Lepisosteus oculatus: one gene and its partner. The protein of the gene in region 1 purifies or fractionates together with the protein of each later gene. This does not show direct contact. Links are inferred from orthologs where the notes say so. Each region holds a gene or a part of one and is shown in the gene's direction. Other genes may lie near its edges.

Region 1 (7,190 bases):
CAACAGTGAAACAAGCGTCTAGAGATGTTTGGGGCTGCATGTATTCCAGTGGGCTAGGAAAGGTAATAAACAGGGAAGGTACTGGTGTCCCCCCCCCAGGGAAAATGGCATGCTGATTACCCAAAACCGTGCCGTATCGTCTGGAGAGCAAGGCTGGTTGAAACATCACTTCTGTATGTGATGACGATGACATCAACCACAGTACTGGGGCCATAAAAATGATCTCGTTGGCAAAAGACAAGCTGGATATGTGAAATCTGCGACCTGCACACGAATCCAGAGGTCAGTCCTGGTTCTATAAAACACGGACTTAGGGAAGGACAAGAGAAGACTTTGGATGAACTTTGGAATTTTTTTTAGGTTCCTTAAATGTGGAATACACAAGCACCGAGCTGTCAAATAAATCAGAGTGTGGGGACACAAAATATTGCCTTCATCTCACATCATCATTGGTAGGAGACCAATTTTTAAATTTTGAAATCTGTTGCTTTTTTTTTTACTATTGTAAATATATATACTTCACATGTATCTGGGATTACATACTTTGGAACAGTTCTGTATGTCATTCACCTTTTTGGAGTTTTTAGTTTTAGAGTAATGTTTTAAGAATGATACGATACGAGGGAACAAAACACTGCAGTTGGAGTGTGCTTTTCCTTTCCAAGGCCATTTAGAAAGTCAATGACCTTAGGTTCTTAATGACTTTAGACTAAAACCTTTAGGCCAGATTTGTTACTTTGTGCATCCTAGAGGTTCAGTAATGAAAATCCATCCATTTTCTAACAACTTTATCCAATACAGTGTCATGAGAGTGGAAGCCTATCCCAGCAAGCAATGGGCACAAGGCAAGGTACAGCACTCCATTGCAGGGCACAGACACTGGCACACAGACACCAGGGCCGAATTTCTCAGAAGCCAACTAATTTACTAGTATGTCTTTGCAATGCTTCAGACCGCAAGACCCTGCAACGAATGGTGGAAACAGCTGAAAAGATCATCGGCGCCTCCCTCCCTTCCATTCCTGTCACATCTCACGAACGCTGCTTACACAGTATAGTGGATGACCCCTCCCAGAAACTCTTTGCCCTCCTACCATCTGGGAAAAGATATCGCAGTGTACGGGCTAGATCCAGACTCTGGAACAGTTTCTTCCCACAGGCTGTCAGGCTCCTCAACATCCTGGAATCTACCTGCACCCACTCCAATTCCAGGAACAGGTTTAAATCCCCCCAGTGTGTTGTGTATGTTGTATTATGTATGTGCCTTGTAATTTGCACTATCTGCACTTTGCACTGTGTGTATCCTGTCTACACTGTCTATGTCAGTGTCCTGTCTGTATTTGCACCGTGGAGCAGGAGGAACGATATTTAGTTCCACTGTATACTTGTAAATGGCTGGAATGACACATAAACGTGAACCTGAACTTGAACTTTGGACTGTGGGAGTCACTGGAACACCAGAGGAAACCCACGCAAGCATATGGTACAAATGCCATGAAGATCGCACCCCAGGAATTGAACACAGGACCCTAGCACTGCGAAGCAGCAGTGCTGACCACTACGCCACTGCATCGCCCTGCTCCTAATTGATCAGCATATTAGAAAAACTTACTTTCTTTGACCCTCAGCACAATTATATTCTTAAGCACATAAGAAAAACAAATCCTCTGTTTAAACAAAACAGAACAGGGTCTAATTCCCTTCCATCAATTGAACCTGTTTAGCTGATTGATGGTAGTGTCCATCGTAAAAAGATTGTTACGAAAATACGAATCTCGGGGGAAATTATCAGGCGGTAAGAAAGGGTCAGTCTTGTTTATGTAACGTAATGTTCAAAGAAGTCTTTGAACATACTGTACAACAGCAGCAGTGGATACAAAAAGAAAGTGCATTTAATTTTCAAAAGACCTTTGATAAGTTCCCTCTAAAAATATTCATTCTCAAATTGCAGGTGATAGAAAAAGCTTGTATTCAGTATAAACACTGGTTAATGGTAAACAGAATACAGACATCGCTTAATAATAACAATACACTCCGCTCAAAGTGCTTTACAGATAATGGGGACTCCCCTCCACCACCAATGTGCAGCCCCTCCTGAATAATGCAATGGTAGCCATAGCATGCCACACACCAGCTCTCAGTGGGGAGGAGAACAGAGAGATGAAGCCCGTCTAGAGATGGGGATTATTAGGAGGCCATGATTGGTAAAGGCCAGGGGGAAATTTGGCCAGGACACCAATGTAACACCGCTACTCTTTTTGAGAAACACCCTGGGGTTTTTAATCACAACAGAGAGTCAAGACCTCATCCCATCCAAAGGACTGCAAACTTTTTTTTTTTACAGTATAGTGTTCCTGTGACTACAATGGGGCATTAGGACCCACACAGAGCCTGCAGGGTGAGCGCCCCCTACTGTCCCCACTAACACCTCTTCCAGCAGCAACCTTAGTTCCCATTTAGGTACTGGCCAGGCTCACACTTGCAGAGCTTCAGTGGGCTGCCGGCTGTGAGTTGCAGGGCGATATGGCTGCTGGTTGCAATAAGAAGAACATAAGAATAGTTACAAAGGAGAGGAGGCTGTTTGGCCCATCTAGCCTCTTTGGTAGCTAGTAGTTACTTGGTCCAAGAATCTCATCCAGCTGTTAGTTGAAAGAAACCAATACATTGGCTTGCACAACATGCCTGGGCAGTTTGTTCCACACTCCCACAACCCTTTGTGTAAAAATATGCCATATAATCATCACTGGTTTACTTACGATACCAGAATAAAACACATCAAAACAGGCCTGTAGCACTGTATGTGCCAGTAATGAAACCGTTATTATTATTCCTCTTCAGCGTGTGTAAAAAACTATTTGAAGTATTATTGAGTTTTGAAGTTCTGGGAAAACTGGGGCTCACCCAAACCAACGGAAACTAGGAACGTCAAGTCAGAAACCACCATAAAACAAGAAACCCAACGCGCTGTGAAGCGGAGATGTGATGTTTTTTTTTGTAAAATGGCGGTTTAGGGGTGACGTGGTGGAGAAGCTGGTAGCTCTGCAGCCCCACAGCTCTCGTGGTCCTGGGTTTTATTTGGACTGGGGCACCGTCTGGGTGGAGTTTGCATGTTCTCCAGGAGTTTGTGTGGGATTTCATCGGGAGTTTTAGCTTGCTCCAAAGCTATGCTGATCAGGTTACTTGGTGTCTCTAGTCCATGACTGTTGTCATGTGATGGACTGACCTACACTGATAATGATAAGATTTGTATTTCAACATCCCTTGCCAGGGTAGAGGCATTCTTGAGACTGGGTGCGTGGTATGAGACAGAAAGATACTTTATTGTCCACTGCTGTGGAAATTTGTCTTTAGCTTCTCCCATAAAAGTGCATGAAAAAAAAATTGCCAGAAATAATTCGCACCTTTCATATCAACCACCACGATGATTAAAAAAAACCACATCGCTGTGGAGCTTATGAGATACCTTCTTAAGCATGTGACAACGGAAAACGCAGCCTCGGCTTCAATTTACACTGAAATCTCAAACCTAGTCATAATTAACCGGCTAGTACAACACTTGTGCTCGTCTATTTTTTTACACATATCCAGCTTCGCAAAATGTTCGATAAATCAGAAATATACGGAGTTTAGCAAGCACGCCTCTTCTAAAAATGACCAACACTAGCAACTGAAAGAGTGACTCCCAATAATGCTCCAGCCGCCTACAGTATATGTCAATATTTTATAATATGTCTTTGTTGTAAATGTCTGTAACATGTCTGTAGATTTTATTTTACTTCTATTTCTGGTTTTGTTCCATGTTAATTTTATTATTTTTATTTGCTTTGGCAACGCTGATTGTACCTATCGGTCATGCTAATAAAGCACCTTGAATTGAATTGAGTGAAGGCAGGCACGGGTGGTTTTTCACAGCCTGTGACAACCTCACCGGTGATGTGTGCCATTTCGGAAGACGACTGGGTGTGTTTTTGGAGCATGGTAACAACAGAGTGTCAGGGCGTGATACTCCCGGTTAACCAGAGACGTACGCCCTGCACAAGAATCCCAACTGGATCCGGTTGGTGCTTCAAAACCACAGAAAAGCCCTCAGCCAGGGAGTGATGCTCTGCTTTTTTTCCCCCACCCACAATGCCGCAACAAAGCACATGTTCACTTCCTACTGGCCTCGGCGAGTAGGGGAGTCCCGACTGCAGCCCTGCGATATTGGCGTCGGTAGGGACCAGTGTTGGGGGATGACCGCCGGTGGATCCATCCAACCAGGAAAACGCGGCGCAGGAAGACACGTCCCTCCTGGAGCAGCAAGTTAGAAAGCGCTCCTCAGCGACGTCACCGGAGTGTCACCAAGAAGGCAGCTGGAGGGGCCGAATATGAAACTTGGTTAGGAGTTATACACGGCTTTTCCACCCTTTATTTTCTTCGGGCAGGGTCTGTTGTTTCAGGAGACCGGTGTTTTCGGCAGCGTCGCAGGATGGAGCAGCCGGCGCCCAAGAGGTAAAAGCAAACCGGGCGCCTGTGAAGACCGGCGGGGCGGGCTGCGCCAAACTTTCGGTTGCCTTCGTTTGTGTTGTGGTCTCGTTGTCTCCTTGTTGTTTTGTTGTAATGGTTACTGCTTGTTGCAGCTGTCGCGGTAGGCCATGATGGGTCTAGGTTCAGCAGGGTAGTTCGCGTTTGTTTTTCTTTTTTCTCTTTGCCGAGAGGTTGGTCTGGGGTTGTTACAGTCTCGGGGAGTGACTGTTTGTTTTCCTTTGTTCGGCATTTTCAAAGTGCCTCCGGTAGCCTGACCCCGGGCTGGGCTCTCCTCTCAATTTAACCAGTGAAGGGTCACTTTTCGGCAAAGCGGTGATTTTCTACGTACCGAGCAGGGATTGCATTTTTTTTTAAAATTCCAAAATGGCAGGATTCTCCTAAACGGGAGGCTTGCTGATTAAACCCCCTGACAGCCTGTCAGTGTGTTAAGTTGTAGATCTATCCCTTGGTTTGGCAAATGCTTTGTTGTGCTTTTCGTTAATAACCCGAGCGTGGATTTAACTGAAGAGAGAGCGACACGGTTTACTACATATTGTGTAAGTCGACGTGTCTGTTTTTGTGTGTGTGAATCTGCTACTCCAGAACTGGTATTTAATTTAGATAATTCATTATATGTTAACCGGATATTGATATGCCACGGAACCACGTGCGGGGTAGCGTTCACAAACAAGCAGAAAGGCATTTCCGTGTAGTGTACTCCTTGCTCTTGTTCCTCTTGTTCTGGTGCTAACAAACGGCGCAATGACAGTTCTCAACCTTCGGCATTTATAATTTACCCATTTACTCATTCTCTGTTGCCCACTATGTGTTTCTGAAATGAAACGAAATTGCAGTTCCGCCTAATTCGTGAAGTGATACTTATAATCTGTGCGAATACTTCTTGTTTGTGTGGTTTCATTTATTTTAAAATTATTTTCTTACCGTGCAATATAATAATAATGGCTAGTGTGCGTTAATTTTTGAGTGTTGAAGAACGAAGCAAATAGTTGTAAGAGAATCATAGACCAAGCTTGGTGCTGTGGGGAACACAGTGATGATTACGAGAGTAGGCTGGAGATACCGGGGAGTGGGTCTTGTTAGGCTTAGTCTTGTGAGTGTATTATTCGTAGAACTGAAAATGCCGGTGTGCAGTAGTACCACACTAAACTACCAAGGGTTATTTGTACAATCTGGCCTGTCTTCTGATCACACCTGATCTGGTTTGTACTGGGCAGTGGTGGGTGAAGTGGTCCACCATTGTTGTTAAGTCTATTCCTAGTCTTTATTCCTTTGGGATGCAAAGTGAGATGTAAATGAAAGGAATTTTTCATTGGTATAAAATAATTGCCTTTAAGTTTTTATTGCAGCACTTTGTTGTGTAAATGATAATGTAAGTGCTGGTTGCTTAGTTAAAAAAAGTTCAGGTTTATGGTATGTTTGAACTTTTTGTCATCTGCTACCATCGCTGTTCAGCTTACTTCTGCCTTCGAGGGTTCCCAGAATTCAGCACCTTCAAATCACTGACCCTCCTGCTTTTTTCTGCTCTGTTGTTTTGTTTCCTGTGCTGAATGATATTTCTTTCACATTTAGGTTTGCCTGAAACTGACATTGTAATATACAGATAACCGCTTGCGAAGATCCCAGTCGAACAATTGAGTTAAGAGACTGAAATCCAGTGATCATAGACGCATTTGATCATGTAGACCCACAGAAGACAGGAAATTATTTCAATTATATTTAACAAATAATCAGTTTGGCTGTTATGTTACTTGCTGCTGATGCTTAGCCTGAGCAGTGTGAGCTGTCTAGGTGGATGACTGAGGCTGAATCCTCTGGATTGAAAGGCGCTATACAAGAATAAAATTGATCACATGATCAATTGGTGTCCTCCTGGAACCCGAAACAAGTCTTGAAAATCCTCAAGGCCTCCGACAAAGTCAACACCATCAGATGTCTTCAGAATGAACAGTGGAAATGGACCAGTGGGCACACGTGGAAACAACTCGGAAGGGAGTTTAAAACCGAGGGAAGGTGGCTGTTCTTTACCCAAAGGGATGTGGGAGTGTGGAACAAGCTACCCAGGCATGCTGGTGAAGTTTAAACCAGATTGAAAAGAATTAGATCCTTGGAATTAGTTACCAAACGAACTACGAGTGGCCTCCTCTCATATCCTTTCTCAAGTGTTTTCCTGCAGTTCTGGATTTCGGTGAAGCTTCCCGGTTTCACGGGGTGATTTTGTCTCTTTGATATTGGTTTATGTTCTGTCACTTAATTCTTCGTTGCACCTTCATTCTTGCTGTGATCTGAGACGCGAGCTTCATTTGAAACTGCGATGTTGCTAGTCTTGTCATCTGCAGTCTCCATCTCCTGAGGTCTTTAGTGCTAGTGCTGCAAGGGTCATTTTCATACACTGTGCTCACTGAGAACAAGAGGGAATGCAAATCCAAGGCAGGCAAGGTAGTAATGGTGGCATGGAAATCGTCTTCATTCGTGTGTAGCCACACAGTGCCATGTTGATTAGTCTTATTGGAATTTGGTGTCCTCTGAGTTGGGGCCCACTGTCGGTGTGTTTTTGTCGCCTCTAAGCTGTGCTGCGTGTTGCACCTAAGATGAAACCGTTATGAGTTGTCATAGGGCCATAATGTATATGGTGTAAAAATACCTGCTATAGTCTGTAGTGACCCA
Region 2 (6,859 bases), on another chromosome or scaffold:
AGTACTGGTAGGTTTTGCTTTCACCAATTGTATTGCTAACAGACCAGAGATACTGAAAAGCCTATTTCATTGGCAGTGGGTGCACATTTTTAGTGTACTGCTGCCATCTGTTGCACAAGCGTTAAACTGCTGACATCCAAAGTTAAGAAATAGAACCATCTATTCAACTGAGTCATGCATTTTATAAAGTATTTCCAATTTTCAACATCCTCAAATGGAAAAAAAAATGGAATCAATTTAATATTTGTCCATTTACATTTTAGTATTTTGATTTTGTTTTTCCTATATTTAATGTAATGCTGAACGTATTTTTTATCCATCCTTCCATTTTGTAACGGCTTTATCCACTAATCTATATAGCCAGTAGCCATATCACTCTGCACCTCACAACTGGCAACCCATTGAAGCTAAGTAGGTGTGAGCCTGATCAGTACCTGGATGGGAGACCTCCTGGGAAAAACTAAGGTTGCTGCTGGAAGAGGTGTTAGTGGGGCCAGCAGGGGGCGCTCACCCTGTGGTACATGTGGGTCCTAATGCCCCAGTATAGTGACGGGAACACTATACTGTAAACAGGTGCCGTCCTTTGGATGAGATGTAAAAGCAGGGTTCTGACTCTCTGTGGTCATTAAAAATCCCTGTGTGTTTCTCAGAGGGGTGTAACCTCGGCGTCCTGGTTAAATTTCCCATTGGCCCTTACCAATCATGGCCTCCAAATAATCCCCGACTATGAATTGGCTGCTCTGCTCTCCTCTGCTCTGCTCTGTGGTGAGCATTCTGGCGCACTATGGCTGCTGTCACATCATCTAGGTGGATGCTGTACATTGGGGAGTGTAAGCTATTATTATATACATACATACAACCATGGAGAAGACAGTGGTATTCAAGTCTGCAAACAGAGTAAAATAATTCCAAGTTTGATTTCAGTGTGAGCTGACAGAGGTTATATGATCTTTGTGATGTGAAATTTATCATACATAATAATACAAAGTATAATGCCTCCATAAACAAAAGGTACATTTTGCAATGTTACACATGGTCTTATCTTTGCTGCTTATGCATTATTCCAAATATTTTTTAGAATAGATATTCATACAGATTCTTTATAAACTCATTTTGCTAGCCCTGGGACCAATAGTAAACAATCAGCAAGACTTTCTGTTCATTATTTAATATTTATAAAGTATGGTCCAAAAGATGTATTGATGTAAAATATAGACTTGTTGGGTTTTCATTGTGCCTTAGTACATAAAACTGTAAATGCTATAGACTGATATTCCCCAAAACTAAGTTTATCTCAATACATTATGTCCTAGGCATTTCATGTTTGGTTGTGTATGGGCTTGTTGGCTCAGCTCCTAAATAGATGGTGCCAATGCCTACTCCTTCCAGATATTTGCATGCAGTTCCTGCTAAAACTTGAAGCTGGCAGATTTTACCTAGAGTACACCTCTCTTTGATTTTAGGGCCTCCAAAGTTACTCAGCCATGTACAGGTGATTGCTCAAATGCAGCTTGAGCCACTCAGGCCCATTAACCTGAATATCTGTCAGATTATTTACTCTTCATTGCCATTTTCTTCCATAATCGTCATTCTTTCCATAATTTCCTTCACTGCTGTATAAGTGAGTACATAATGACTACTTCAAGAAATAAAATTAATCAAATGTTTTTTTTTCTTTTTGAATGTTGATAAATGATGATGCTTGCCTGTCTATCCTCAATGTGCCTCATTCAGAAATGAAAAGTAAACTACAGAAACTGAGAAAGGAAGAAGCAAAGGTTTATTCCATCTGAAAAGAAAAGAGACACAACGTTTTGGTTGTGGAGTCTTTTTCGGGTACCTCCAGATTTACACCTGAAGCGGGCTGCACAGCCACAATGTTGGGTCCCTTTTGTTTTTGGCATAGAAAAGACCTTTACTTGCTCCTTTGCAGACTACGCATGCTGACACAGCTACTGTACCTACTGTACTTCAAGGAATTGCATAAAACCTCCTGCAAATCTGTACAGCAATGAAACCAAATAATTTTCATACGCAAATATAGCAAAATGTCCACAGCTGTTGGGTGACTGCTTTGCCTCTTCCACATGGTACATAAAGGTTCTGAAAGACATAAGCTTTCTAGTCTCAATTCATTGATGTCCCAGTTATTCTTTTGAAAATGGTTCATATGGAATTGACAGACAGATTTTCTACAGCATGTAAACTATATTAAATGCTAAAACTATATAAAATCACACCTTTCCTAGATATGGATATCAAAGTGCATGGTGTATTTTTGATTATTTTTCTGAAACTTTATTTTTACATACTGTATAGTAATTAGTCAAGGCATTAAACGATCTGTAATAGTAACAGATTAACTATGAAAGAATAAACATGATTTCTCAAAGCTTTAACCATTTACCCTTTTAACAGTTGTGGAGTTCTGTGTGACTAATTTAACATTTCAGTAATTTTAATCATTTTCTTAAATCCCACCTTTATGAAGGTTTGGAGGTGCAGATTTAATCCATTGTGTTGGAACCAAAACGATCTGTTGCTTTTTCAATGCCTCTCGGTATGTACTACCCATAATAATACCCATCTTAAAGGGTGTTTCATATTTTTCAAGATTTATTATTACAGCTATTATCTCAAGAAAACATTGCACTCATGATATGATGTATCATACAGTATGTATCAGGTATGATGAATCAATCAGGAGAAGTTCACTTTCCAATTTCCTAGTTCATTAGCATGGATCAAGGACACCTCTTCTGGGGTACCCCTGTTTCTTGTAGTTTCTGTTCCAGATGCATTCTTAATTATTAACTGACTCTTGTATTGATTTGAGTCTCTGACTTGTTTTGATCTCTGAAAAAGCTAAAAGTAAATAGTATATTGAGTAAGTGTTTGTTTAGGAACAAGTAATACACTGTAGGTTTATTCCAAGCTGAAAAGAGAAGAATGAAAACACAACGTTTCGACCTTCCTCACACCTTCTCTTTTCAGCATGGAATAAACCTATTACTTGTTCCTTTGCAGCCTATGCCTGCTGATGGCAGCTACCCACCTGCAGTGTTAATTTATGTAACTGTGAGCTCAGATTAACAAAACAGCACACAGAGAAATGTGCAGTAATGCACACTGCTCTAAAGTAAAATCAGAGCTAACTGGATAAATAAAAGTTATTTATTTACATGCAATACATTGTGTGTTGTCCAAGTTTGATAAATTGCTTTATTTTCATTACAGTGATTATATTACAGTCATTATACAGTATATCATAAAGATATTGTATTACAAAGTGATCAAATTTGTCTTTAGTTATTAAGTTTCTGAATAGAAACATTTAACTGTTGACACCAAACTGAAATTATTAAAAAATTATTTTGATGAGCCATGATGATTAAAAGTAATTAATTGGAATAAACATTATATCATGCATTGTACCCCACAACAATTGCTAATTAAATCCCCAAACTAATTAGAACGTGTAAATATTTTGTGTACTGTGTCTGTGAAACTCACTTACAGATGTATTTCTTATGTGTTTTATAATTAAAACAAAGTTATCTGTATTTTCTTCAGGTTCTTCAAGAGATTTGTATGATTTGCATGGGAGATTATGTGAAATAGAATACTTTGATCTTTTGATAAATGTGATCTTTCTATTTTGAATAAACATTAGCAAATATTACAATACTTTGTAAGTTGTTCAGCATTTGACTGATTATTTGAAAAATGTTCCAGTGATGAAACAGTTAATATTCACAAAGTACCTGCCTTCTCCTGCTGGTGAAAGGTGTGACTACAGGTGTGTTTATATAGGATCCACTTAGCAGCAAGGCAAACACTCCCAACATGCACTGTGGCAAGACACTGTAGGCAGTCTCAGGTTTCTGCCACCTTCTTCAAAACACTGTCTGTCCTGCGCTCACTAATAATTAACATCTATCTGAGGCTTCAGGCAAAAGTTACACTGGCTGATCGTTGACTTCCTTTGACCTCTTTTTCCTGTTACAGCAGAAAAAATAATGTGATACAGGCTACTTTGGACAAGTACTTTTGATTCAGTAAAGGTGAGTGGAAGTTGTTCAGTGGTAATGGTAACTTTTGGCTGTTTGGAGACTTAACTATTATAACCAGATGATGAGTAAAGTAAGATTTAATTTCAGAGGAGTGGAAGAATAATGTGTCATCATGTTTGTAGGTAAATCATCATGTGACAAAGGCAAGGAAAGCATTTCATGTTGACTGAAGTAAAGGGAAAAATTTATATTTTACTTTCAGTTTATAGTATATGGACACATAAAGTGAATCAGTTTTATAATTAAGTTGCTTCAAATAACATGTGGGTCAGTTTGAGGTTTGATTTTGAAGTTTGTGCTTCTAGTTTTTTCACATTTTAATTTTTACATCAAGCCATCACTGGCAACAGTCTGTGGGGAACATTAAAACTGAAAATTCACAGAACTGAAAAAACATGGTAGATTTCAGAATCGCCTCGTGATCAAAATCTTCTATTTCACACCATCTCTCAAACAAATCATACAGATCTCTTGCAGAACTGAAGAAAATACAGATACCTTTGTTTTAATTATACTGCACATAAGAAATACACCTGGATTAAAATATGTAAATTAAATACTTCATAACAACATAACACAGATTGCTTTTTTGTAGAGTGGTACTTAGAAATACTATTTAAATGTATTGCATCTGGTCATCCAGATTAGTGAAATATTCTAGTTAGAAATGGGTGTGGTCCAATAACTTAAAGGAATGTAGCCCCTGGCTATATATTTGAGTGGGTAAACTAGGCTTGTTATGGTACCATACTCAGAATAATGAAAAGTGGCTTTAAATTTCCAGAGACAAAACTTCACATTTTCATTCCATGTTTATGTTTGAAAAGCTTTACTGTATGTGACATTGAACTGTAATAACAGTTTCTCAATATTTGATGCAGAATTTACTACAACCACACAATAGAATCATGTAGAATAATTATCGTAATAGATGTTCTATTGTTATTGTACACTCATTTATACACAGATGGCAATTAACAAATCTTGCAAAATTATGGACTAGTACTGGTGACCTTTTAAAATGTCTCTTGCTGTAGGTTTGCATATGTAGCAAAGATAAAATGTCAGTTGCTAGAAACAAATAAAACTAGTCTCAAAACATTTGCATCACAATTGATGTTTTCTGTCTGATTTTGGCTGTACTTAAAAAGTTTCCGGGTGTTGATAAGTTTTTTACTTCAGATAATATTTTTTTTGATAAAATGCTAAATGAACTTGTATGTTCTCCCTGTCAATGGAGCTTCGTAGACACCTGACATGAATGGGTTGTTCCCTGGTTGTTGTTTGTTTTTTATTTCTTTTCACTTCTGAAACAGCATTAAACTGTACTTTAAAGACCTATAGACATGCTATATCTACTGTATATGCTATAGATTCTTCACAAAGTGTGTCTCTACTTGAGTTAGGCATACTAAGTACTTACAAATGTTTTAAAATGCAGAAAAAATCAAAGCATGTGATTCAATGAAATGGTTGTTTGTAGATAATTATATTTCAAATATTTCAATTTGTAAATTTGGTACAGGAAAGTGCATGTTTTGACTTGACCAAAAGGTTAAAAATTGACATTCCTAGACAGGGCTGGGATGCTGAATGCCCAAAAAGTTATTTTATCTGAAATGTGGATGTGTTTGTACTCCAGAAGACTTTGTTACATTTAGTAAGTGTGCTCGGTTTCGGTAACTATGATGTGATCAACAGAACAGCCTTTAAGGATGGAAAGAGGAACTGAAAGTGTTTATGGGACATTTATTTAAGCTAAAGACTAAGGGACATTGTTATTTATGTTAACTCAAATAACAACACTGAGTAAAAGCATTTAGACATTTTAAATCAACAATAGGGATCCTGTGGCATTGTTGTCCCTCCATAGTTTGCAATACCACAAATATGGCTCCTATGTAACTTAAATTAAAATTGTTCTGGATGTCTGTATTCAATATAAAAAAAACACATTATTCTAAACAAGCTAATCACATTCTGTTTAAAAAAAACTTAGAATCATCATAATTTTTGTTATACCCAACAGAACTGGATTAACCAATAGTGTATTTTCTACATCCCATTTAAGTATTCCTTTCATTTTTTTGTACAGTTTACAAGTTTTAAATGATCCAAAATCACTACAAATGTGGTATATCTGCTATAATTTATTACTCCTGATACCCCCCAGTGCCTCAACAATTTACAGTGATCTGGGGAGATAACCATTTCTCACTTTGTTTCATGATTTGATTAAATGTAACCACACTGGACAAACATAATATATGACTGTCATTTGGCCCACCACGTGGAAAGGAGTATTACACCTACAGTACATTTAAATCTCTGTATATTCCTCCTTGTTGCAAAAGAACACTAGGCTATCTTATAACAATTTACAGCACATACACAACAACACTCATTTAACAGCATATGAGAAACTGTTACATGATCGATATTTTAAAGATTCAAAAGAAAATATGTGAGTCTTATAACACAATGTCAGAAAGAACATGAACAGAACTGACATTTGGACTATTAAGGAGCTTGTGAATCGTTATGCACTTAACAGTGTTAACTGATTTTATTTTTTTTTGTCTCACAAAGGGTCTTACCATTTTGGTTTGCAGGATTAACTACAATGAATCTTGACCAGCCATCGTCTCCTGTCCATATCGGGAACAAGAGATCCATTTCCAGGTAGCTCAATCTGACAATTTAACACATTCAATGGGAATGTACTGTAGGAAGAAAAGATCACAAGAGAGACATCCAAAGCAGTATACACTTAACTGCAATTCCTT

The links.
Region 2: the proteins of stk3 (region 1) and rassf6 purify together in Homo sapiens (affinity purification with mass spectrometry; 4 studies listed by BioGRID and IntAct, counting the BioPlex papers as one, with this or other methods). This does not show direct contact. The link is inferred for Lepisosteus oculatus from reciprocal best matches to the Homo sapiens genes STK3 and RASSF6.

Annotation. Positions count from the first base shown.
Region 1 is NC_090705.1:8,366,750-8,373,939, reverse strand, and holds the start of stk3 (serine/threonine-protein kinase 3), read left to right. Parts: upstream 1-4,172; 5' UTR 4,173-4,467; coding exon 4,468-4,490; intron 4,491-7,190. UniProt on the Homo sapiens protein: Stress-activated, pro-apoptotic kinase which, following caspase-cleavage, enters the nucleus and induces chromatin condensation followed by internucleosomal DNA fragmentation.
Region 2 is NC_090698.1:62,244,810-62,251,668, reverse strand, and holds the start of rassf6 (ras association domain-containing protein 6), read left to right. Parts: upstream 1-3,854; 5' UTR 3,855-4,064; intron 4,065-6,662; 5' UTR 6,663-6,696; coding exon 6,697-6,755; intron 6,756-6,859.